Linked DNA regions of Stegostoma tigrinum. The protein of the gene in region 2 purifies or fractionates together with the protein of the main gene of each other region. This does not show direct contact. Links are inferred from orthologs where the notes say so. Each region holds a gene or a part of one and is shown on either strand. Other genes may lie near its edges.

Region 1 (7,490 bases), on a different chromosome or scaffold from region 2:
TACCGGTGACCGGACACGATACCGGGTATAATTACCGTGTTTCTCTCTCTCTCTGACAGGATTTACCGGTGACCGGACACGATACCGGGTGTAATTACCGTGTTTCTCTCTCTCTCTGACAGGATTTACCGGTGACCGGACACGATACCGGGTATAATTACCGTGTTTCTCTCTCTGACAGGATTTACCGGTGACCGGACACGATACCGGGTATAATTACCGTGTTTCTCTCTCTCTCTCTGACAGGATTTACCGGTGACCGGACACGATACCAGGTGTAATTACCGTGTTTCTCTCTCTCTCTCTGACAGGATTTACCGGTGACCGGACACGATACCGGGTATAATTACCGTGTTTCTCTCTCTCTCTGACAGGATTTACCGGTGACCGGACACGATACCGGGTATAATTACCGTGTTTCTCTCTCTCTCTGACAGGATTTACCGGTGACCGGACACGATACCGGGTATAATTACCGTGTTTCTCTCTCTCTGACAGGATTTACCGGTGACCGGACACGATACCGGGTATAATTACCGTGTTTCTCTCTCTCTCTGACAGGATTTACCGGTGACCGGACACGATACCAGGTGTAATTACCGTGTTTCTCTCTCTCTCTGACAGGATTTACCGGTGACCGGACACGATACCGGGTATAATTACCGTGTTTCTCTCTCTCTCTGACAGGATTTACCGGTGACCGGACACGATACCGGGTATAATTACCGTGTTTCTCTCTCTCTCTCTGACAGGATTTACCGGTGACCGGACACGATACCGGGTATAATTACCGTGTTTCTCTCTCTCTCTCTGACAGGATTTACCGGTGACCGGACACGATACCGGGTATAATTACCGTGTTTCTCTCTCTCTCTGACAGGATTTACCGGTGACCGGACACGATACCGGGTATAATTACCGTGTTTCTCTCTCTCTCTCTGACAGGATTTACCGGTGACCGGACACGATACCGGGTATAATTACCGTGTTTCTCTCTCTCTCTCTGACAGGATTTACCGGTGACCGGACACGATACCGGGTATAATTACCGTGTTTCTCTCTCTCTGACAGGATTTACCGGTGACCGGACACGATACCGGGTATAATTACCGTGTTTCTCTCTCTCTCTGACAGGATTTACCGGTGACCGGACACGATACCGGGTATAATTACCGTGTTTCTCTCTCTGACAGGATTTACCGGTGACCGGACACGATACCGGGTATAATTACCGTGTTTCTCTCTCTGACAGGATTTACCGGTGACCGGACACGATACCGGGTATAATTACCGTGTTTCTCTCTCTCTCTGACAGGATTTACCGGTGACCGGACACGATACCGGGTATAATTACCGTGTTTCTCTCTCTCTCTCTGACAGGATTTACCGGTGACCGGACACGATACCGGGTATAATTACCGTGTTTCTCTCTCTCTGACAGGATTTACCGGTGACCGGACACGATACCGGGTATAATTACCGTGTTTCTCTCTCTCTCTCTGACAGGATTTACCGGTGACCGGACACGATACCGGGTATAATTACCGTGTTTCTCTCTCTCTCTCTGACAGGATTTACCGGTGACCGGACACGATACCGGGTATAATTACCGTGTTTCTCTCTCTCTGACAGGATTTACCGGTGACCGGACACGATACCGGGTATAATTACCGTGTTTCTCTCTCTCTCTGACAGGATTTACCGGTGACCGGACACGATACCGGGTATAATTACCGTGTTTCTCTCTCTCTCTGACAGGATTTACCGGTGACCGGACACGATACCGGGTATAATTACCGTGTTTCTCTCTCTCTCTCTGACAGGATTTACCGGTGACCGGACACGATACCGGGTATAATTACCGTGTTTCTCTCTCTCTCTGACAGGATTTACCGGTGACCGGACACGATACCGGGTATAATTACCGTGTTTCTCTCTCTGACAGGATTTACCGGTGACCGGACACGATACCGGGTATAATTACCGTGTTTCTCTCTCTCTCTCTGACAGGATTTACCGGTGACCGGACACGATACCGGGTATAATTACCGTGTTTCTCTCTCTCTGACAGGATTTACCGGTGACCGGACACGATACCGGGTGTAATTACCGTGTTTCTCTCTCTCTCTCTGACAGGATTTACCGGTGACCGGACACGATACCGGGTATAATTACCGTGTTTCTCTCTCTCTCTCTGACAGGATTTACCGGTGACCGGACACGATACCGGGTATAATTACCGTGTTTCTCTCTCTCTCTGACAGGATTTACCGGTGACCGGACACGATACCGGGTATAATTACCGTGTTTCTCTCTCTCTCTGACAGGATTTACCGGTGACCGGACACGATACCGGGTATAATTACCGTGTTTCTCTCTCTCTGACAGGATTTACCGGTGACCGGACACGATACCGGGTATAATTACCGTGTTTCTCTCTCTCTGACAGGATTTACCGGTGACCGGACACGATACCGGGTATAATTACCGTGTTTCTCTCTCTCTCTGACAGGATTTACCGGTGACCGGACACGATACCGGGTATAATTACCGTGTTTCTCTCTCTCTCTGACAGGATTTACCGGTGACCGGACACGATACCGGGTATAATTACCGTGTTTCTCTCTCTCTCTCTGACAGGATTTACCGGTGACCGGACACGATACCGGGTATAATTACCGTGTTTCTCTCTCTCTCTGACAGGATTTACCGGTGACCGGACACGATACCGGGTATAATTACCGTGTTTCTCTCTCTGACAGGATTTACCGGTGACCGGACACGATACCGGGTGTAATTACCGTGTTTCTCTCTCTCTCTCTGACAGGATTTACCGGTGACCGGACACGATACCGGGTATAATTACCGTGTTTCTCTCTCTCTCTCTGACAGGATTTACCGGTGACCGGACACGATACCGGGTATAATTACCGTGTTTCTCTCTCTCTCTGACAGGATTTACCGGTGACCGGACACGATGCCGAAGCTGACGCTAGGCCTGATGGTCCTGACCGGATCACACCCGGACCGCCCACGCGGATGAACAGATCAATCCGCGGTGGAGGGCTATGGCGGTAAGACCTGGACCTCCGGAAGTGGCCCTCCCTATACTGCACAAGCACAACCCGCACAGGGCCCTGTCCCCGACACCAAACCGGGGGGGACACACAAAGCCCCAGAAAGGTGGCTGGAACAGCGGGATATTTACTTAGAGCGGAGGGAGATGCTGCGGGGGCGGGCGGTTACACAGTTTGTTCCAGCACTTTCTATGCGGTGACGTAAGGACGTCGCGGGGAAGGCGGGGCCTTTGTTACCAAGGAGACGGCAGGCAAAAGTGATGGCGGCGGGAAGACGCCCAGAGAGAGAGAGAGACCCTGATCCCCCTCTCCCAGAGAGAGAGAGAGAGAGAGAAACCCTGATCCCCCTCTCCCAGAGAGAGAGAGAAACCCTGATCCCCCTCTCCACGAGAGAGAGAGAAACCCTGATCCCCCTCTCCCAGAGAGAGAGAGAAACCCTGATCCCCCTCTCCCAGAGAGAGAGAGAGAGAGAAACCCTGATCCCCCTCTCCCAGAGAGAGAGAGAGAAAAACCCTGATCCCCCTCTCCCAGAGAGAGAGAGAGAGAAACCCTGATCCCCCTCTCCCAGAGAGAGAGAAACCCTGATCCCCCTCTCCCAGAGAGAGAGAGAGAAACCCTGATCCCCCTCTCCCAGAGAGAGAGATAGAAACCCTGATCCCCCTCTCCCAGAGAGAGAGAGAGAAACCCTGATCCCCCTCTCCCAGAGAGAGAGAGAAAAACCCTGATCCCCCTCTCCCAGAGAGAGAGAAAAACCCTGATCCCCCTCTCCCAGAGAGAGAGAGAGAAAAACCCTGATCCCCCTCTCCTAGAGAGAGAGAGAGAGAAACCCTGATCCCCCTCTCCCAGAGAGAGAGAGAAAAACCCTGATCCCCCTCTCCCAGAGAGAGAGAGAGAAAAACCCTGATCCCCCTCTCCTAGAGAGAGAGAGAGAGAGAAACCCTGATCCCTCTCTCCCAGAGAGAGAGAGAGAGAAACCCTGATCCCCCTCTCCCAGAGACTGATAGAAACCCTGATCCCCCTCTCCACAAGAGAGAGAGAAACCCTGATCCCCCTCTCCCAGAGAGAGAGAGAAAAACCCTGATCCCCCTCTCCACGAGAGAGAGACAAACCCTGTTCCCCCTCCCAGAGAGAGAGATAGAAACCCTGATCCCCCTCTCCCAGAGACTGATAGAAACCCTGATCCCCCTCTCCCAGAGAGAGAGAGAGACCCTGATCCCCCTCTCCCAGAGAGAGAGAGAAAAACCCTGATCACCCTCTCCCAGAGAGAGAGAGAAACCCTGATCCCCCTCTCCCAGAGAGAGAGAGAGACAAACCCTGATCCCCCTCTCCCAGAGAGAGAGAGAGAGAGAGAGAGAAACCCTGATTCCCCTCTCCCAGAGAGTGATAGAAACCTGATCCCCCTCTCCCAGAGAGAGAGAAACCCTGATCCCTCTCTCCCAGAGAGAGAGAGAAAAACCCTGATCCCCCTCTCCCAGAGAGAGAGAGAAAAACCCTGATCCCCCTCTCCCAGAGAGAGAGAAAAACCCTGATCCCCCTCTCCCAGAGAGAGAGAGAGAAAAACCCTGATCCCCCTCTCCTAGAGAGAGAGAGAGAAACCCTGATCCCCCTCTCCCAGAGAGAGAGAGAAAAACCCTGATCCCCCTCTCCCAGAGAGAGAGAGAGAAAAACCCTGATCCCCCTCTCCTAGAGAGAGAGAGAGAGAAACCCTGATCCCTCTCTCCCAGAGAGAGAGAGAGAGAAACCCTGATCCCCCTCTCCCAGAGAGAGAGAAACCCTGATCCCCATTCCCAGAGAGCGAGAGAAACCCTGATCCCCCTCTCCCAGAGAGAGAGAGAGAGAAACCCTGATCCACCTCTCCCCGAGAGAGAGCGACCCTGTTCCCCCACCCAGAGAGTGAGAGAGAGAGAAACCCTGATCCCCCTCCCAGAGAGAGATAGAAACCCTAATTCGCCCCTCCCAGAGGGAGAGAGAAACCCTGCTCCCCCTCTCCCAGAGAGAGAGTGAGAGAGAAACCCTGATCCCCCTCTCCCAGAGAGAGAGTGAGTGAGAAACCCTGATCTCCCTCTCCCAGAGAGAGTGAGAGACCCTGATCACCTTCTCCCAGAGAGAGAGAGAGAAATCCTGATTCCCCTCTCCCAGCCCAGAGAGTGAGAGACCCTGATCCCCTTCTCCCAGAGAGAGAGCGGGAAACCCTGATTCCCCTCTCCCAGAGAGAGGGAGAAACCCTGATCCCCCTCTCTGAGAGACAGAGAATTCCTGATCCCCCTCCCAGAGAGGGAGAGAGAAACCCTGATCCCTCCTTCTCAGAGAGAGACGGAGAGAGAAACCCTGATCCCCCTCTCCCAGAGAGAGAGAGAGAGATGGAGAAATCCTGACCCCCCTCTTCCAGAGAGAGAGAGAAAAAAAAACCTTGACCCCCCTCTCCCAGAGAGAGAGAGAGAGAAACCCTGATTCCCCTCTCCCCGAGTGAGAGAGAGGAAACCCTGATACCCCTCTCCCAGAGAGAGACAGTGAGAAACCCTGATCCCCCTCTCCCAGAGAGAGAGAGAGAGAGATGGAGGAATCCTGATCCCCCTCTTCCAGAGAGAGAGAGAGAAAGAGAGACAGACAGACGACCATGGCTTCTCCTGAGAGAGAGACGGAGAGATCTGATGCCCCACCCGCCCACCTGAGTGAGGGAGATTGATCCTGAGCCCAGTCCTGATGGGGATGGAGAAAGAGAGACCCCGATCCCCTCCCAGAGAGGGAACCCTCGGCCCTTCAGAGAGAGTGAAAGCTGCCTCCAGGCTCAGCCTGCAGCCCTACCCCACAACCCTCCCAACATTGCCAGGGACAGAGCTCCCCCTGCAATCTGTGCCCATGTCCAGTCCCTATCCATTACCAGACCCAGATCTTGCATCTCCTCCAATCCATGTTCAGGTCTTCGATCACCGAAGGCCCAGCAGCTCAGCTTTGAGTTGCACTCCATACCCCATGGCTCCTGCTCACTGACCACACAGTGCCTTCAAGACACAAGCAAGTTGCACAGTTTTCTCAATGTTTTGACCAAAGGGTTCATTCAGCCTAGCTATCTATGGCCCTTGGAATGTGAGCCTGCAAACTCCACTGATGTAAAACAAAGGCAAAACACTGCAGGAGATGCTGGAGAGCTGAGGTACAAACAAAAGTGTAGAATCTCATCACATTTGCCAGCATCTGTACAGAGAGCAAAACAACTTTTCAATTGGAATTGAGCGAACTTTTGTTTTGTCAAACATCCACTGCTTGCTTGTGTCTGTCACCATCTAGATGTCAGCACTGAAAGATTCACAAGGAAATATCAATATGACGGCTAACATCCAAATTTAATTTCAACAGTTGCCTACTTGTTTTTGTTATAATTTAGAATGATTATTATTGATATTTGTGCTAATTCCCCCCCCCCCCCCCCCCCCCAGTTGATGGATATTGTGCATTCTTAATTGCTGAAGTGAGGGGTTAGGATTCCTGCAGCTCACCTCTTCTCTCCCTTTACCACCAATACTCAGTAGCAGCAGTGTGGATCATCTACAAGATGCTGTGCAGGGATTCACCAAGGTTCCTTAGCACCTACCAAACCCGTGACCACTTCTATCTCGAGGGACATGGGTAGCAGGTACAGTTGGGAGAGAACACATCCTCAGTGAGAGACTACCAGATAGACGGTGCGTGTGTATTTCTGGGATATTGGAGCACAATGGGAATTCAGTGCTGGGGTGAGGGGAGGTGCTTTAATTGATTTTTTTTTTGTTGTCTGTGGCTTATAGTTTGTAAGGACTAAATTCTATAGTGATATAGGACCAGGAATAAGAACCCTAGAGTAATTAACATTATTTGATATTAAGCATCTTCCGAAAAGTTCAATTTAACTACTGCCAGGAGAGATCAGAGCTACAGAGTGCCCTTTCTTCTCAATGTGAGAAGTCAGTCAATGGTAGCATTTGTGCGAGAAGTGTCTCTATCTATAGCTCCTGGAAGCCCAGTATTCTTCATTGTGGATAATATGTACAGAGAGGCAGTCACACCATGGACGAAGAGAATGGTCACCATCAGGAAGATCAAAGGGACCAGGCAGGCAGTGCAGGAGTCTCCTGTGACTATACCCTGCAAAGCAGATAAACCTCTTTGGACACTGTTGAGGGGAATGGCAGAAATAGCTAAATTTGGTGCACCATGGTTGACTTTGCTGCATAGTGGAAGAGTAAAAAGTGTGGGAATGTAATCATTATAGGGGATTCAATTGTAAGAGAATTAGTTTGGTGACTGCAATTGAGACTCCAGGATAGAATGTTGCACCCCTGATGTGAGGGTCAATGTTGTCATAGAGCAACTACAAAACATTTTGAGGAGGGGAGGATGAACTGCTAGTGGTTGCATGGTGGTGCAAACTACATA
Region 2 (6,974 bases):
TTTATTGGTATAATTTCACTAAATGTCTGCCAGAGGAAGCACAGTGTTACTGCGGGTGGGACTGGTGAACATTTTTGATGTTTTCGCACTTGACTGATCACACGACACACTAACTTTTCCAGAAAAGCATGTGTGTGTGTGTGCGCGCGCACTCACATATAGATCTCTCACAATTCGGGGTCCTTTCACAAACAAATCCCAGGTTGGTCACAGTAAACTCCCAGGTTGAGAAATGATCCATGCCAAAGGTCTGACTTGAAACTACACTCGCCCCTCCTCAGGGGCCAAACATAGGTCGTGGAAATTGAGCTTCCCGGCGCCACTGGGGAGGGGGGGGGGCGGGGGTGCAGAACTGTGGTGAAATTACACCTCCCCACCAATTCAATGGCAGTGTCTCCCTCTCCTCACCTGACCACGTTGGGATGCTCGAAGGACTCGAGTTGCCTCAGTACAGCCACCTCCCGGATGGTGGAGAGAGGCATCCCTTCTTCCCCGGTCTGAACTCGCACTTTCTTCAGAGCCACGAAGCGACCTTCGTTGTTCCTGTCTCTGGCCTTGTAAACCTTACCGTACGCCCCCTCCCCGATCTCGGCCACCGGTTCGTAGCGGTCGGAGAAACTCGCCTCTTTCCCCTCCATGGCGCCGAGTTCGGATCCCCGCGCTGCCCTTCACACATAGACGGAAACAAGTTTGGGTACAGTCGGGCCAGTCACATCTGGAAAGCGAAGAGAACAAGTGATTGATAATGACAATGCATATTGAAGAAAACTTTTGCGGGATGTAAAGTGAAAATGCATGGGCAGCTGGCTAATGGGGCGTTTCTTTTTTTTGTTGAAGCAACACGTTAGCCGAGTTGACAGAAAGTTAATGTGTCCAGTCATGAGGACGACGCTCTACCATTGAAAGTTTTGCAGCGATGCCTCGAAAGCTCGGTTCCCCGCGAGAAGACATGAGTGGAAAGGGGCGAGCAGCTGGCCCTCGGCAAAGGGAGAGCAGCTGCAGCCCCGGGTATCCAAACACACACACTCCCGCTCACTGCAGCCGCCGACCGGGATCCTAACTTTCCAAAGCATGCGCACAGCGACCACCTTCAACACGTGCTACTGGCAAAAGATTGTGTACAAAACAAATAGTTCAAACTAACAGGCAGCCAGAGAGCCGCCAGCTTAAACAAACAATTTACCCCGGTGCAGCTTTGATCACCTCACCCCCCCCATAATGAAGTTTATTTTCCGTCAGTCACTTTGCCTTTAATTTTAACCGTGTGGGGGGTGGGGTGGGAATTAGTAATTCCCAAAAGATTCCCGCAGGATTTTTTTCCTCCCGCATCCACTGTACCCACGGGGTTGCGAACGGATAGCCTTTCCGCTGCTCCTGTATAAATAAACAGGTATAAAGAGAGGCTTTCGTTTCACCTCACCTCCTTCCCCCACAACCAACCCACCTCAAATCTCGATCTGTCACCGAGACTGACAGCCAGCTCCCTAGTGCCAGCCGTCGGTGGGTTTTTGGCAATGCTGCTTGTGGGATTGTGTGGCACAAGACAAATGCTGAACTCAGGGGAACACTACATGTCTCAGCAAGCATGGGCCGCCCCATTGCATTTGTCATCCAGAATATTGATGAGACAAGACCCCACGTTGAAAACACCATGCAGCTTTAAATATATATTATACATATATATATAATACCCTGCCGAAAATCTAAGTCTTCTTGAATTAAAACAATATACCTGATTCTAAGCATGTATTGAGAGCACCGGCCAGGACGCAGCTTCGATTATTACAGCTATGGTGAAGCTCAAGCCCCGCACTTTTATCTAAAAAAAGGTTTTTTTAAAATGCTTCCACAGTCGAGAGCATAATGGGACAGCCAGCCCTGATCGCTAAAGACTCGGCCACACAGGTAGATGCTGCACACTTTGTGGCGTGTGAACGAGGAAATCTGTCATTTGGGGTGGGGGGTATGGAGGACAGATTGCAATTGACGCAAAAGCGAAAAAAAAGTCGGCGCAGACCATGTAATCTGCAGAACTCGTCGAGTAAATATACTTTTTTGTTGCCGAACAGAGCAGTATATATACATGTATCTTGTAGGCAGCCGGGGTGGAGAGTTTCTGTCTCCACCACCAACTTCATCACTCCCCCCCGCCTCTTTCTCTTTTTATCCTGAGGATTTCGTTCTCCTCTAGCCCTTGTCGAAGAAAGAGAGAGCAGTGCTGCTGCCTTTTCTTTCCCACGACGCCTGAATGTGACCCCCCTTCAGCAGTTGACACAGAGCATCAACATTTCCGCATTCCTCAAACAACAAAGGCGAAATGCCGCCCGGCCTTTTTCTCTTCCCAACTCACTCATTCACTCTCTCTCTCTCTTGCACTCTCCGCTCAATGTCCCTTTCGTTTCTCACTGTCAAGTTCCAGCAGACCCGAAAGGAAGAGAAACTTAAAGCCTACACAACGCAACATAAGCTTCCTCCCCCGCCCCCCCCCCCGCACCCCTCGCCTCTCCTCGCCACCAACCACCAACACACTTTCTCCTCATTAAAAAAAAGAAAAAAAACAATTCCTGCTTCCTGGATCACGCTAACGGTTCAGCTCAGTTAACTTTTGGAGAAGTTAAGCCAGTTAAACCCTTGGCTAATGTCCCGCTGGATTCCGACCCTTTTGTTCCCTTAGCTTGCAAAAAGTATTGCAATCGAACGGCATATTAGCACTCTTGTTCGTGAACTTGCAGAGTTCAGACTTATGCCAACAACAATCAAAAGTGATATAAAGTTCACGATGCATACGTACCGCATATCCTGTTACTGCCAATTCATTTGCCCTTGCCAACGTTGCCAGCTACTAATCTGAAATGTGTAGGATTTTGTTCCCTTGCCCCCGAAAGTGATGTGAAAGTGGCCAGTTCAAACGCTAGCGGATAATCAGTAAACAGGGCAGAGCTAAACCTACAAAACAACGTTTACTTTCTTCAAACCAACACGTCCGAAGGGGTCTGTCACACAGCAACTCTTTTACCCACAATACTTAAAGGGAAATAGATCACGTTTCAATATACCAGCGGTACACTACTAATATATACGTATACATAAAATGTAGATTTGCCTACCGTGGAAGAAACATTGAGCATTTTTCTGAATTCAAACATTGCAGTTGATTACTCAATTTGCATGAGCACTCAAAGCTTAAAGGTTATTGAAGCCAAACTGCACTAATCAAGTGGGGCCAGAGCGGGGTACAACATCAATACCTGCATTGAAAATCTAGAACTTGTTTAAAACTTGCTCCATTCCAGGAAACGTGAATCGGTTTATTTCTCCGAAAAAAAACCTTCAAAGATTGCTCATTTATGTGTCATGATGATTTATATGTGTATACATCTGAAACAAGATTCCAGCCTGACCCTGTTGTCGCAAATATTCAATATAATCTACACTTCAGAAATCAGCTAAATCTACGCTTTTTTTTTAAAAGATGCGTTGGCAACTGGGGCTACCAAACAGTCCTGTGGCTAAAGGCTTTTGTTTTGGTAAGTCGTCCTCTATATTTCCCTTTTACAGTTTACGACGATGTTAAAATGAAAAGTGAGAGGACGAAAATGAAAGGTGCAAGTCAGTAGCAATATGCAGAAAAAAACCTAATTTGTAAAACACTAAAGGCAAGTTAGTAATGATTTTAAATACTTGAAATTATAGAAAATGATTTTGATGTTATTTTAGCAATTTGTAACTAACTGAAAAAATAATCAATTAAAATCCAAAGCAAATGTCTAATATTACAAAATAGTATATGTACATATTTCAAACAATATACCATATTTCAAAATAAGTTTCACAGACATGATTATTTCCTTAAAATGTAGCTTTCTGTTTCATTCATTTAGAAAATGTTTATGTGTTGATGATTTAGTAAATAAATTTACCTAACACAAATACAAAATTAGCTCATGTATCAATTGCCATGTATTATAAAATCCAGAACTAACCCATATTTTCGTGCTTTTATGTTCATGTTTTTATTAGCATCATTATTGCACTCAAACATAAGTATAACCAATCTCCAAAATATTGTTAGGTTATTTATACCTGCTGATTTATATTTCAAATAAAATATTTGATAACCAAATGATCAAATAAACTAAAATATTTGATAATCAGAATTAAAAGCCTTAAAGATGTATAAAATTAATATGTTATTTTCTTTTAGGTCTTAGACTTTTGATATTTCTGAAAGGAGTTGTGGTGTTTGTAGTTCGCAATTTTTTAAAAAGTTATAATGTCAAACATTAGTATACTGCTTATTGCAAAGAATCACAGTTAATTACAATACCTTTTTAACATATGGTTACAGTATGATATAGATATTGTGAAAAGTACTTTAACAAATTTGATTAATCTAAAAGCTATGCTGACAAATCCAAAGTTATGTTACAGTGTAGTCCCTGTGTGGTTGCAGCTGACCTTTCCTCCCATTCCCCCACACCTCCTTTTACCCCACAAAGATCCTTACAGGTTCCCTGAGGCAAAGAGCAGAGTTCAAAGAGATTTGTACACAAATTTCATATAATTGGTATTGACAAACAAATACATTTTAAAACTGATCCAACTTGGAAAGTAATTTTTGCATCAGTAGAGATGATAATCTTTATGGAAAATAGCATTAAGAATTAATAGTGTTATGTTTCATCCTTTACGTAAAATAGAATAACAAATAGGGATTAAATTTTTTAATGATTGATTCTTGTTGGAGGTTGTTAATATCTTTTGATTTTGAAAGATTTTGAAAAATAATGTCACTTCTTTTCAATTAAAAAACTTTATAATGAGCAAGTGGCAAATTAACTACTCAAATTTGAAAATAAAAATGATGACAGCTTAGAAAATATCTTGAATAATGATGCTTGAAAGCACATTGAGAAATACAATACACCAATGGTCATAAAATCAGCATATCTGTTCAATAAAACCTGAGCATATTCAACATGTAACAAAACTATGAAGCTATATTCCAACACAGACTTTATTGTGTGCTGCTTATTCCTAATATTTTCTTTGTTTGGCATTTCAAAACATGACCTGTTGTTTATTCACATTACTGAACATTTAATTGACCTTTCATTTGAAAAGCAACAACAAGGCAATTGATTTTTGAGGAATATCAATGCAGTTCTTAAATGCAGGGCAAGAGATGACTCACCTCTTGTCTACAAAAGGAGTAGTTCTGAAATTAATGGAACATGAGAAAGGAATTGTACCTTCACACACATTACATTAAAAATGTAATCTGTATACTATCTATCTATGACTAAGTATGAAAGAAAGCATTGATGTGTATTCTTATTACAGAACTGAATTAACTAGATGCTTAATCTCTTTTAGAGTAATAACAGAAATATTTGCAGAATATTTTTAAAATAGCAAACATAGAAAGTGAGAGTGACATTACAACTCAACTGTTTTATAAGCTTAATGACTCTTTGTAGTCTGAAATATGCTGGTAATTTATTGTTTGATATATTGATTTGGAACTTACAAAAATACTGTAATTTTTTGTTACTATTAGAATGCTTTACAATTTTCAAAGAAAGCAAAATGTTCACTCTGATACCATTTGAAATCAAAATCTGTGTCTTTAAAAGTAACAATCTAGTAGTCTGCTTGAATTCAGTGTACTTTCTAACATCAAACTTTTGTGGTGTGCTTTCTATCCTCTATACATTGAAAAATTACAGCTACATAGTGTGAACTGCATAGCTAACATAGAAAGCCGAAGTGCAAATAATGTGTAAGTATTATTTATGAATATATCTTAAAATGCCTTCACAGCATATGTAGTGATGTAAATCTACTTTTTCTTTTCATTGTAAGAAACAACACTTACAATATCTACTTCGTTTTAACATTTTTCATGAAATGATCAGATTGCAGTTAATTCCATTAGAATAGCGATTAAGAGTTTATATGTCTAACCATGGCTGTAAAGGTTTCAGATGATGGTGTTACTTTATTGCAGAGACCAATGATCCAGGATGTAAATAAGCACTGGTTTGAAAAACATTGAATTTTAATCCATTGTACAGTGAGGATAAGCAATTTAATTGTGAAACAAGCCTTGAGTACACATATCAATTTGAACTGTTTTATTTTCATCCTTAACAATTAGGTAAAAAAATCAAATTTAAAAAATACATTCAACCCTGTAGGAAAGTTAAATTGATATTATGACGTTGTTGGGTTTTTAACATATTTGTTAAGGGATTGAGAATAAATTATGTGTTTTTGTGTTGATAGTTCACTAAACAGATTTCACTGCTGATTTGTCACTCAACAGATTTCACTGCTGATTGTTCACTCAACAGATTTCATTGCTGATTTTTCACTCAACAGATTTCACTGTTCATTGTTCACTCAACAGATTTCATTGCTGATTGTTAACTCAACAGATTTCACTGTTGATCTTCTTCTCAGCAGATATTAGAAAAGGCTTTCTCCTCAAGTTTTGAATTGGATTTCTATAATTAATATTTTGTTAAGTCATAACTACATCTATAAATGGAAATGTTATGTCTTGAAAGATGCCTTTTGAAGAAGTAATTTATGTAAGCCTGTTGCTTCTTTATTAAAGAATAGTAGTACGTGTATGTTTGAGTATACTTGTGATGCGTTACACGATCCATGATTTTGGTATTACAGAGATGTCAAATAGTGGAGGCGTCTAATAATTCCATTTTGCATATTTCCTGTAATATACCCAAAGCACAAAGAATAATGAAATAAACCATTGATATCTTATTAAAATGTTGAAATACACAATGTAGAACGTATAATTTAAATTTATAATTTTGGCATTGAAAACAACAAATAATGTTTTTAATAATTAATAATTCTATTAATCAGTGAAACTTACATAAATTCACCACTATAAATGCACATTTTATTGCACAGTATTAAGTGTGCTTTGGCACTTATAATCCCAA
Region 3 (8,057 bases), on a different chromosome or scaffold from region 2:
GTGGTCTTTCTCCTCGAAAAGGACTAGTTAGAGGGTTTTTTACAACAATTGACAGTACAATGGTTACTATTAGTTTAGCTTTCTAATTCCAAAGTTCAAAACTTCACCTACCATGCCCCCAGAATATTACCCTGGGGCTCTAGATTATTAGTTCAGTGACATGGCCACCTTGCCAGTGAATATTGCTGTACAATGATCAAAGTCCCAGATTCAAGACTCTCCAGCCTCCTCTCCCCAAAGGTTAAAAGGAGTGGCACCTGTTTTGTCTGGAAACAGACCCCCTAATGAAAAGGCTAACGAGAAGGAGACTTCCTTTCTGAAGTCTGTGATTCGATTGTTCAACATGGTCCTTGTACTCCATCAAGGTCATTGTTTTTCAGCTTCATCACATCAGATCAGTTCCGGCATGACATGAATGTGTTCAACAACCTCACCATATCTGAAGCTTTTGTTCAACCAGCTATTCGCTCAGACTCACCAGATTTAAATAAACCAAGCATCTCAAGTTGGAACAAATGTACACAAGACTTGACACCAAGAAAACAAACCATTCCTACATACTTATCTATAGCTTCACTTTGAAGCCGAATGAGGGATTTCTGCTCAACATACATTGTGGAGGAAAGAATACAACAAGTACAAAATAAAGTATGCTGCTAACAAAGTTACAATATTCTGCTAGGAACCCAAAAACCACAATTTTCATCATTCTAAAAAACTGTGACACCAGAAAATTAACTATTAAAATGGTCCCAACTGATTTTAAAAGGCAGAGTAAGAAATAGTCATGCTGACCAATACAATTCGAGTGTTATATTTCAGGATTCAGTATGATCTTCCACAAGCTATGCTAGAAGGTGTTAACTTTTTATGGGAATACAGAATGACAAGAAAGAAAAAAAGAGTTTCTCTCAGCAAAAGATATTGGAGCAGAACTAGGCCATTCAGCACAGTGTGTCTGCTCCACTACTCAGTCATGGCTGATAATGTCTCAATACCACTCTCTTGCCTTCTTCCCTGATCCCCTCACTGATCAAGAATCTACCTGTCTTAAAGAGAAAGAATGACTAGGTCTCAACAGCTTTCAGCAACAATAAGTTACACAGATTCACCACCCTCTGGCTGAAGAAATTTTTCCCAGTCTCAGTTCTAAAGGGTTATCCCTTCATTCTGAGTTTGAGCCTCAGGTCCTCACCTTTGCTACGTGGTAACATCTTATCTACACCCATTCCATCCAGACCTCTTAACATTCTCCAAGTTTCAATGAGAATCCCCCTTCATCCTTCTGAAATCCATGTAGTACAGACTCAGACTCCTCAACCATTGCTCATACGACAAGCCCATCAGCCCTGGGGTCACTCCTGTCAGTCACCTCTGGACTGCCTCCCAAGACAATACATCCTTCCGTGGATACGAAGTCCAGAATTGCTCACAATACTCCAGATGTGGTCTTGCCAGAACTTTATACAAACACAACAGCACATCTGCACTCTGGTATTCCAATTCATTTGAAACGAAAGCAAATATGTCCTCCTAACTGTAAAATGAGCCTGCATGTCAACAGAATCCTGAACTAGGATGCCCAAGTCCCTTTGTGCTTCAGATTTCCGAAGCCTTTGGACATTTAGAAAATATTGTGCTAGCAACCCAAAACCGCAATTTCAAATCATTCTTGTTAGGAAATTGTGACACCAGATGATTAACAATTAAAGACGTCCAACTCATGTGAAAAAGGCAGAGTAAGTCACAGTTGACTCTCTATTCTTCCTTGTGTTGCATTTCACCAGCTACTTTGGTGCACACTCATCCAGTCGGTCCAGGTCCTTCTGTAGATTCAGCACCTCCTCAACACTATCTGCCTCCATCGATCTTAATATCATGTGCAAAAGCATAGACTATGGCCATGCGGTATTATTGCTGGACTGTTAATGCAGAAACACAAGTAATGTCTTGGAGACCCAGGTTTAAATCCTGTCACAGTAGATGTGGAATTTGAATTCAATAAAAAAATCTGTAATTAAGAGTCTAATGAAAATCAAGAAACTATTGTCAAGTGTCAGAAAAACCCATCTGGTTCAGTGATGTCCTTCAGGGAAAAGAACTGGCATCCTTAGCCAGTCTGATCTATACGTGGCTCGAGACGCAGAGTCATGTGGTTGACTCATAAGTGGTGTCTAGACAATTAGGATGGGCAATAAATCCCATCTCATCCCAAGCATGAATAAACAAAAAAAAAGACCAAATATGCCATCAGTTTCTTTGTTAATGCATGACATGAATAGCTGCGGTCCCAACACTGAGCTGTGAGGAAGTCCACTAGTCAGTGGCTGCCATCCTGAAAAAGGGCCCTTGAGCCCCCAACTCTGCCTGGAGAGCCAATCCCCTTTCCGTGCCCTAACACCATGGGATCCTACTCAGAGACCTGTGCAACACCTTGTCAAAGGTCTTGTGGAAATCTAAATGGAGGGATCAAGAATTTCAGGTAATGAAAGGAGTGTGGGCAGGGTGGGGGTGGACGAGGAGGTGGTGGTGGACGAGGAAGTGGTGGTGGGGGGTGGTGGACGAGGTGGTGGGGGGAGGAGGTGGTGGTCGGGGGGTTGGAGGTGGGCTGGTGGTGGTGGTGGGGGTTGTGGGGCGTCGCCGCTGGAGGGAAGGCTGTTGGGAGGTCGGACAGAGGGGAACGAAGTCTACCGAAGCGGCGGGGGGGTCAATCCGGGACTATTTGAAGGAGATGAGGATGGGGGGTGTATCAGGGCCCGGGGGTTTAAGAAGGTGATGGGGACGGGATAGATGGAAGCCGGCCCTGGTGGTGGGGGGAATGGAGGTGCCCGGCCCCGGAGTTTACCTGGTGCCGCCAGCGGAACAGGCTGGCCGTGTCAATGTTCGGGTGGGTGTCGTCCTCATCATCCGACACCTCGATATGGTCCCACACGCTATAATCCACCATCGTTTCCCCGTCTCCAATTGTCCCAGGCCCAGCTTCTAGAACACTCGCTGGGCCGCCTCTCTACACGTCACTTCCGGACACACGTCACTTCCGCCGACTGTCACCGCCCAGCTCCATGATGTCAACGTCTCCCTTGTCGGGACGGCAAAACCAGTCCCGAGGATCAGAGATAATGGGAACTGCAGATGCTGGAGAACCCAAGATAACAAAGTGTGGGGCTGGGTGGACACAGCAGGCCCAGGAGCAGACCCCGGCCCCAAAAATCAGTCCCGCCCTAAAATCAATCCCGCCCCAAAATCCAGTCCCTAAAATCAGTCGCGCCCCAAAAACCAATCCACAGGATCGGAACCCCTACCAACATCCAGTGTACAGGAATTAGACCACCCCAAAAACTGGCCACAGGAATAGACCACTCCAAAAACAGTCCATAGGATCAGACACCCCCAAAAATCTATCCGTGGGATCAGACACCCCCCAGAAACCAGACCACAGGATCAGACCCCCCCCTCAAAAACCTCCAAAAACCAGTCCACAGGATCAGTCCCAGCCCAAAATCCAGTCAACAGGCTTATACCCCCTCCAAAAACCAGACACTACGAACAGAGCCCCCCCCCGCCAAAAAACCAGTCCACAGGATCAGACCCCCTCTCAAAAACTAGTCATCGGGATCAAACACCTCCAAAGACCAGTCCACAGGATCAGATCCACCCCAAAAACCAGTCCCTAGGATCAGACACACCCCTCCCAAAATCCAGTCCCAAGGGTCAGACAGCCCCTCCCAAAAGCCAGTCCCAAGGATCAGACACACCTCTCCCAAAATCCAGTCCCAAGGGTCAGACACCCCCTCCCTACAACCAGTCCCTAGGATCAGACACCCCCTCCAAAAACTAGTCCCTCGGATAAGACACCCCTCCAAAACCCAGTCCCGAGGATCAGGCACACCCCCAAAAACCAGTCGCTCGGATCAGACAACCCCCCCAAAACCCAGTCCCTACGATCAGACCCCCTCCCAACACGGAGTCCCTCTGAATCAGACACCCCCCGACAAAAACCAGTCCCTTGGATCAGACCCCGCCCCATTAAACCATACGCTCGGATCAGACAACCCCCCAAAAAACCAGTCCCTCGGATCAGGCACCCCCCCAAAAACCAGTCCCACGGATCAGACAACCCCACCCCAAAAACTAGTCCCTCGGAATCAGACCGCCCCTCCCAAAAACCAGTCCCTCGGATCAGACACTCCTCCCAAAAACCAGTCCCTAGGATCAGACACCCCCCTCCCAAAAAGCAGTCCCTAGGATCAGACACCCCAGCCAAAAACCATTCCCTCGGATCAGACCCCCCCTCCCAAAAACCAGTCCCTAGGATCAGACACCCACTCCCAAAAACCAGTCTCTAGGATCAGACACCCCCTCACAAAAACCAGTCCCTTGGATCAGACACCCCTCCCAAAAACCAGTCCCTAGGATCGGACCCTTCCCCCCAAAACCCAGTCCACACGATCAGACACTCCCCCCACAAAAACCAGTCCCTCAGATCAGAACACCCCAAAACCAGTACCTAGAATCAGAGATAATGGGAACTGCAGATGCTGGAGATTCCAAGATAATAAAATGTGAGGCTGGATGAACACAGCAGGCCAAGCAGCATCTCAGGAGCACAAAAGCTGACGTTTCGGGCCTAGACCCTTCATCAGAGAGGGGGATGGGGGGAGGGAACTGGAATAAATAGGGAGAGAGGGGGAGGCGGACCGAAGATGGAGAGTAAAGAAGATAGGTGGAGAGAGTGTAGGTGGGGAGGTAGGGAGGGGATAGGTCAGTCCAGGGAAGACGGACAGGTCAAGGAGGTGGGATGAGGTTAGTAGGTAGCTGGGGGTGCGGCTTGGGGTGGGAGGAAGGGATGGGTGAGAGGAAGAACCGGTTAGGGAGGCAGAGACAGGTTGGACTGGTTTTGGGATGCAGTGGGTGGGGGGGAAGAGCTGGGCTGGTTGTGTGGTGCAGTGGGGGGAGGGGATGAACTGGGCTGGTTTAGGGATGCAGTAGGGGAAGGGGAGATTTTGAAACTGGTGAAGTCCACATGGATACCATATGGCTGCAGGGTTCCCAGGCGGAATATGAGTTGCTGTTCCTGCAACCTTTGGGTGGCATCATTGTGGCAGTGCAGGAGGCCCATGATGAATCAGACCAGTCCACAGAATCAGACACGCCCCTAAAAACCAGTCCATAGGGACAGACTCCCCCCAAAACCCGGTCCCGAGAATCAGAACTCCCCAAAACCAGTCAATTTGATCTGATCCCTCCAAAAATTGGTCCATAGGATCAGAACCCCCTCAAAACCCAGTCCTTCGGATCAGACGGCCAAAAAAACAAGTCCATAGAATCAGACCCCACAAAAAACAGTCACTAGGATTGTAAACACCCCCGCCAAAACCAGTCCACAGGATCAGATCCACCCAAAAAAGAGTCCCTAGGATCAGACCCACCGCAAAAACCAGTCCACAGGATTATACCACCCCAAAAAAACCAGTCCCAAGGATCAGACAGCCCCAAAAATCTATCCGTGGGATCAGACTCCCCCCAGAAACCAGACCATAGGATCAGACCCCCGCCCTCAAAAACTAGTCATCGAGATCAAACACCTCCAAAAACCAGTCCCTAGGATCAGACACCCCCTCCCAAAAACCAGTCCCTCGGAATCAGACACCCCATCCCAAAAACCAGTACCTAAGATCAGACACCCCCCGCCCAAAAACCAGTCCCTAGGATCAGACCCGCCCCCAAAAACCAGTCCCACAGATCAAACCCCCCTCCCAAAAACCAGTCCCTTGGATCAGACCCCGCCTCCCAAAAACCAGTCCCTAGGATCAGACACCGCCCTCCCAAAAAGCAGTCCCTAGGATTAGACGCCACCCCCAAAAACCAGTCCCACGGATCAGACACCCCTGCCAAAAACCATTCCCTCGGATCAGACCCCCCCTCCCAAAAACCAGTCCCTAGGATCAGACCCCTCCAAAAACCAGTCCCTAGGATCAGACCCCCCTCCCAAAAACCAGTCCCTCGGATCAGACACCCACCAAAAACCAGTCCCTCGGAATCAGACACACTCCTCCGAAAAATCAGTCCCTCAGAATCAGACACCCCCCCCCCCACCAAAACCAGTCCCTTGGATCAGACACCCCCCCCCTAAAAACCAGTCCCTCGGATCAGACACCTCCAAAAATCTATCCGTGGGATCAGACACCCCCCAGAAACCAGACCACTGGATCAGACCTCCCCCCTCAAAAACTAGTCATCGGAATCAAACACCTCCAAAAACCAGTCGCTAGGATCAGGCACTCCTCCCAAAAACCAGTCCCTAGGATCAGACACCCCCTTCCCAAAAACCAGTCACTCAGATCAGACCACGCCCCCCAAAAACCAGTCCCACGGATCAGACACCCCTCCCAAAAACCAGACTCTCGGATCAGACCCCTCCCTCCCAAAAACCAGTCCCTCGGATCAGACACCCCTCCCAAAAACCAGTCCCTAGGATCAGACACCCCCTCCCAAAAACCAGTTCCTCGGATCAGACCCCTCCAAAAACCAGTCCCTCGGAATCAGACACCCCCCTCCTAAAAACCAGTCCCTAGGATCAGACCCCCTCCCAAAAACCAGTCCCTAGGATCAGACACCCCATCCCCAAAAGCCAGTCCCTCAGAATCAGACCCCCGACAAAAACAAGTCCTTCAGAATCAGATCCCCCTCATAAAAACCAGTCCCTCGGATTCACACACCCCCCTCCCAAAAACCAGTCCCTTGGACCAGAACCCCCCTCACAAAAACCCGTCCCTAGGATCAGACCACCCTCCCAAAAACCAGTCCACAGGATCAGACACACCCCCCCACAAAAACCAGTCCCTAGGATCAGACCACCCTCCCAAAAACCAGTCCACAGGATCAGACATACTCCCCCCCCACAAAAACCAGTCCCTAGGATCAGACCACCCTCCCAAAAACCAGTCCACAGGATCAGACACACCGCCCCCCAACAAAAACCAGTCCCTAGGATCAGACCACCCTCCCAAAAACCAGTCCCTAGCATCAGACACGACCCCAAAAAGCCAGTCCACAAGATCAGACTCTCCCCCCACAAAAACCACTCCCTCAGATCAGAACTCCCCAAGACCAGTACCTAGAATCAGACTAGTCCACAGGATCAGACACGCCCCTAAAAACCAGTCCATAGGGTCAGACTCCGCCCAAAAACCTCTCCTGAGAATCAGAACTCCCACAAAACCAGTCAGTTGGATCGGATCCCTCCAAAAATTGGTCCATAGGATCAGAACCCCCCTCAAAACCCAGTCATTCGGATCAGACGGCCAAAAAAAGTCCATAGGATCAGACCCCACAAAAACCAGTCACTAGGATCATACCCCCCCCCAAAAGCAGTCAATTGGATCTGACCCCCTCCCAAAAACAGTGCATAGGACAGAACCCTCCCCGCACAAAACCAGTCCCTAGGATCAAACTCTCCCCATAAACCAGTCCAGAGGATATAACCCCCGCAAAAAAGTCCACAGGATCAGACCGCCCCGCACCCCCCCCCCCCAAAACAGTCCATAGCATAAGACCCTCCCAGAACCGGTCAAGAGGATCAGATCCCCTCAAAAAACAATCAATAGGATCTGACATTAAGCCCCACAAAAAATACCAGTCAATAGAATCGGAACACCCGAAAACCTGTCCCTAAGATCAGATCCCTCTAAAAAAAACCATTGGATTAGAACCCCTCGAAAAGACAATCAATAGAATCAGACACCCACCCCAAAAAAACCCAGTCAATAAGATCAGAAGCCCCTAAAACCAATCCCTAGGATCAGGTCCCTCTAAAAAAAACAATCTATAGGATCAAAATCCCCCAAAAGACAATAGGATCAGACACCCCAAAAAAAGCCAGTCCATCGGCTCAGACCCACCCCCAAACCAGTCCATACAATCAGAATTCCCCCCAAAAAAGTCCGTAGGATCAGACCCCCCCCTCGAAAAAAAAGTCCATAGGATCAGACACGCCCCTAAAAACCAGTCCACAGGATCAGACCACCCCAAAAACCGGTTCATAGGATCAGACACCC

Evidence for each region.
Region 1: the proteins of cdk6 (region 2) and hsp90ab1 purify together in Homo sapiens (co-immunoprecipitation; 4 studies listed by BioGRID and IntAct, with this or other methods). This does not show direct contact. The link is inferred for Stegostoma tigrinum from reciprocal best matches to the Homo sapiens genes CDK6 and HSP90AB1.
Region 3: the proteins of cdk6 (region 2) and cdc37 purify together in Homo sapiens (affinity purification with western blotting; 5 studies listed by BioGRID and IntAct, with this or other methods). This does not show direct contact. The link is inferred for Stegostoma tigrinum from reciprocal best matches to the Homo sapiens genes CDK6 and CDC37.

What each region holds. Positions count from the first base shown.
Region 1 is NC_081357.1:1,517,795-1,525,284, reverse strand, and holds the start of hsp90ab1 (heat shock protein HSP 90-beta), read right to left. Parts: upstream 3,039-7,490; 5' UTR 2,980-3,038; intron 271-2,979; 5' UTR 221-270; intron 1-220. UniProt on the Homo sapiens protein: Molecular chaperone that promotes the maturation, structural maintenance and proper regulation of specific target proteins involved for instance in cell cycle control and signal transduction. Undergoes a functional cycle linked to its ATPase activity.
Region 2 is NC_081355.1:77,668,773-77,675,746, forward strand, and holds the start of cdk6 (cyclin-dependent kinase 6), read right to left. Parts: upstream 3,008-6,974; 5' UTR 2,792-3,007; intron 2,457-2,791; exon of another isoform or gene 2,351-2,456; intron 1,863-2,350; exon of another isoform or gene 1,733-1,862; intron 1,056-1,732; exon of another isoform or gene 898-1,055; intron 716-897; 5' UTR 639-715; coding exon 409-638; intron 1-408. UniProt on the Homo sapiens protein: Serine/threonine-protein kinase involved in the control of the cell cycle and differentiation; promotes G1/S transition. Phosphorylates pRB/RB1 and NPM1.
Region 3 is NC_081388.1:22,687,541-22,695,597, reverse strand, and holds the start of cdc37 (hsp90 co-chaperone Cdc37), read right to left. Parts: upstream 3,039-8,057; 5' UTR 2,948-3,038; coding exon 2,846-2,947; intron 1-2,845. UniProt on the Homo sapiens protein: Co-chaperone that binds to numerous kinases and promotes their interaction with the Hsp90 complex, resulting in stabilization and promotion of their activity. Inhibits HSP90AA1 ATPase activity.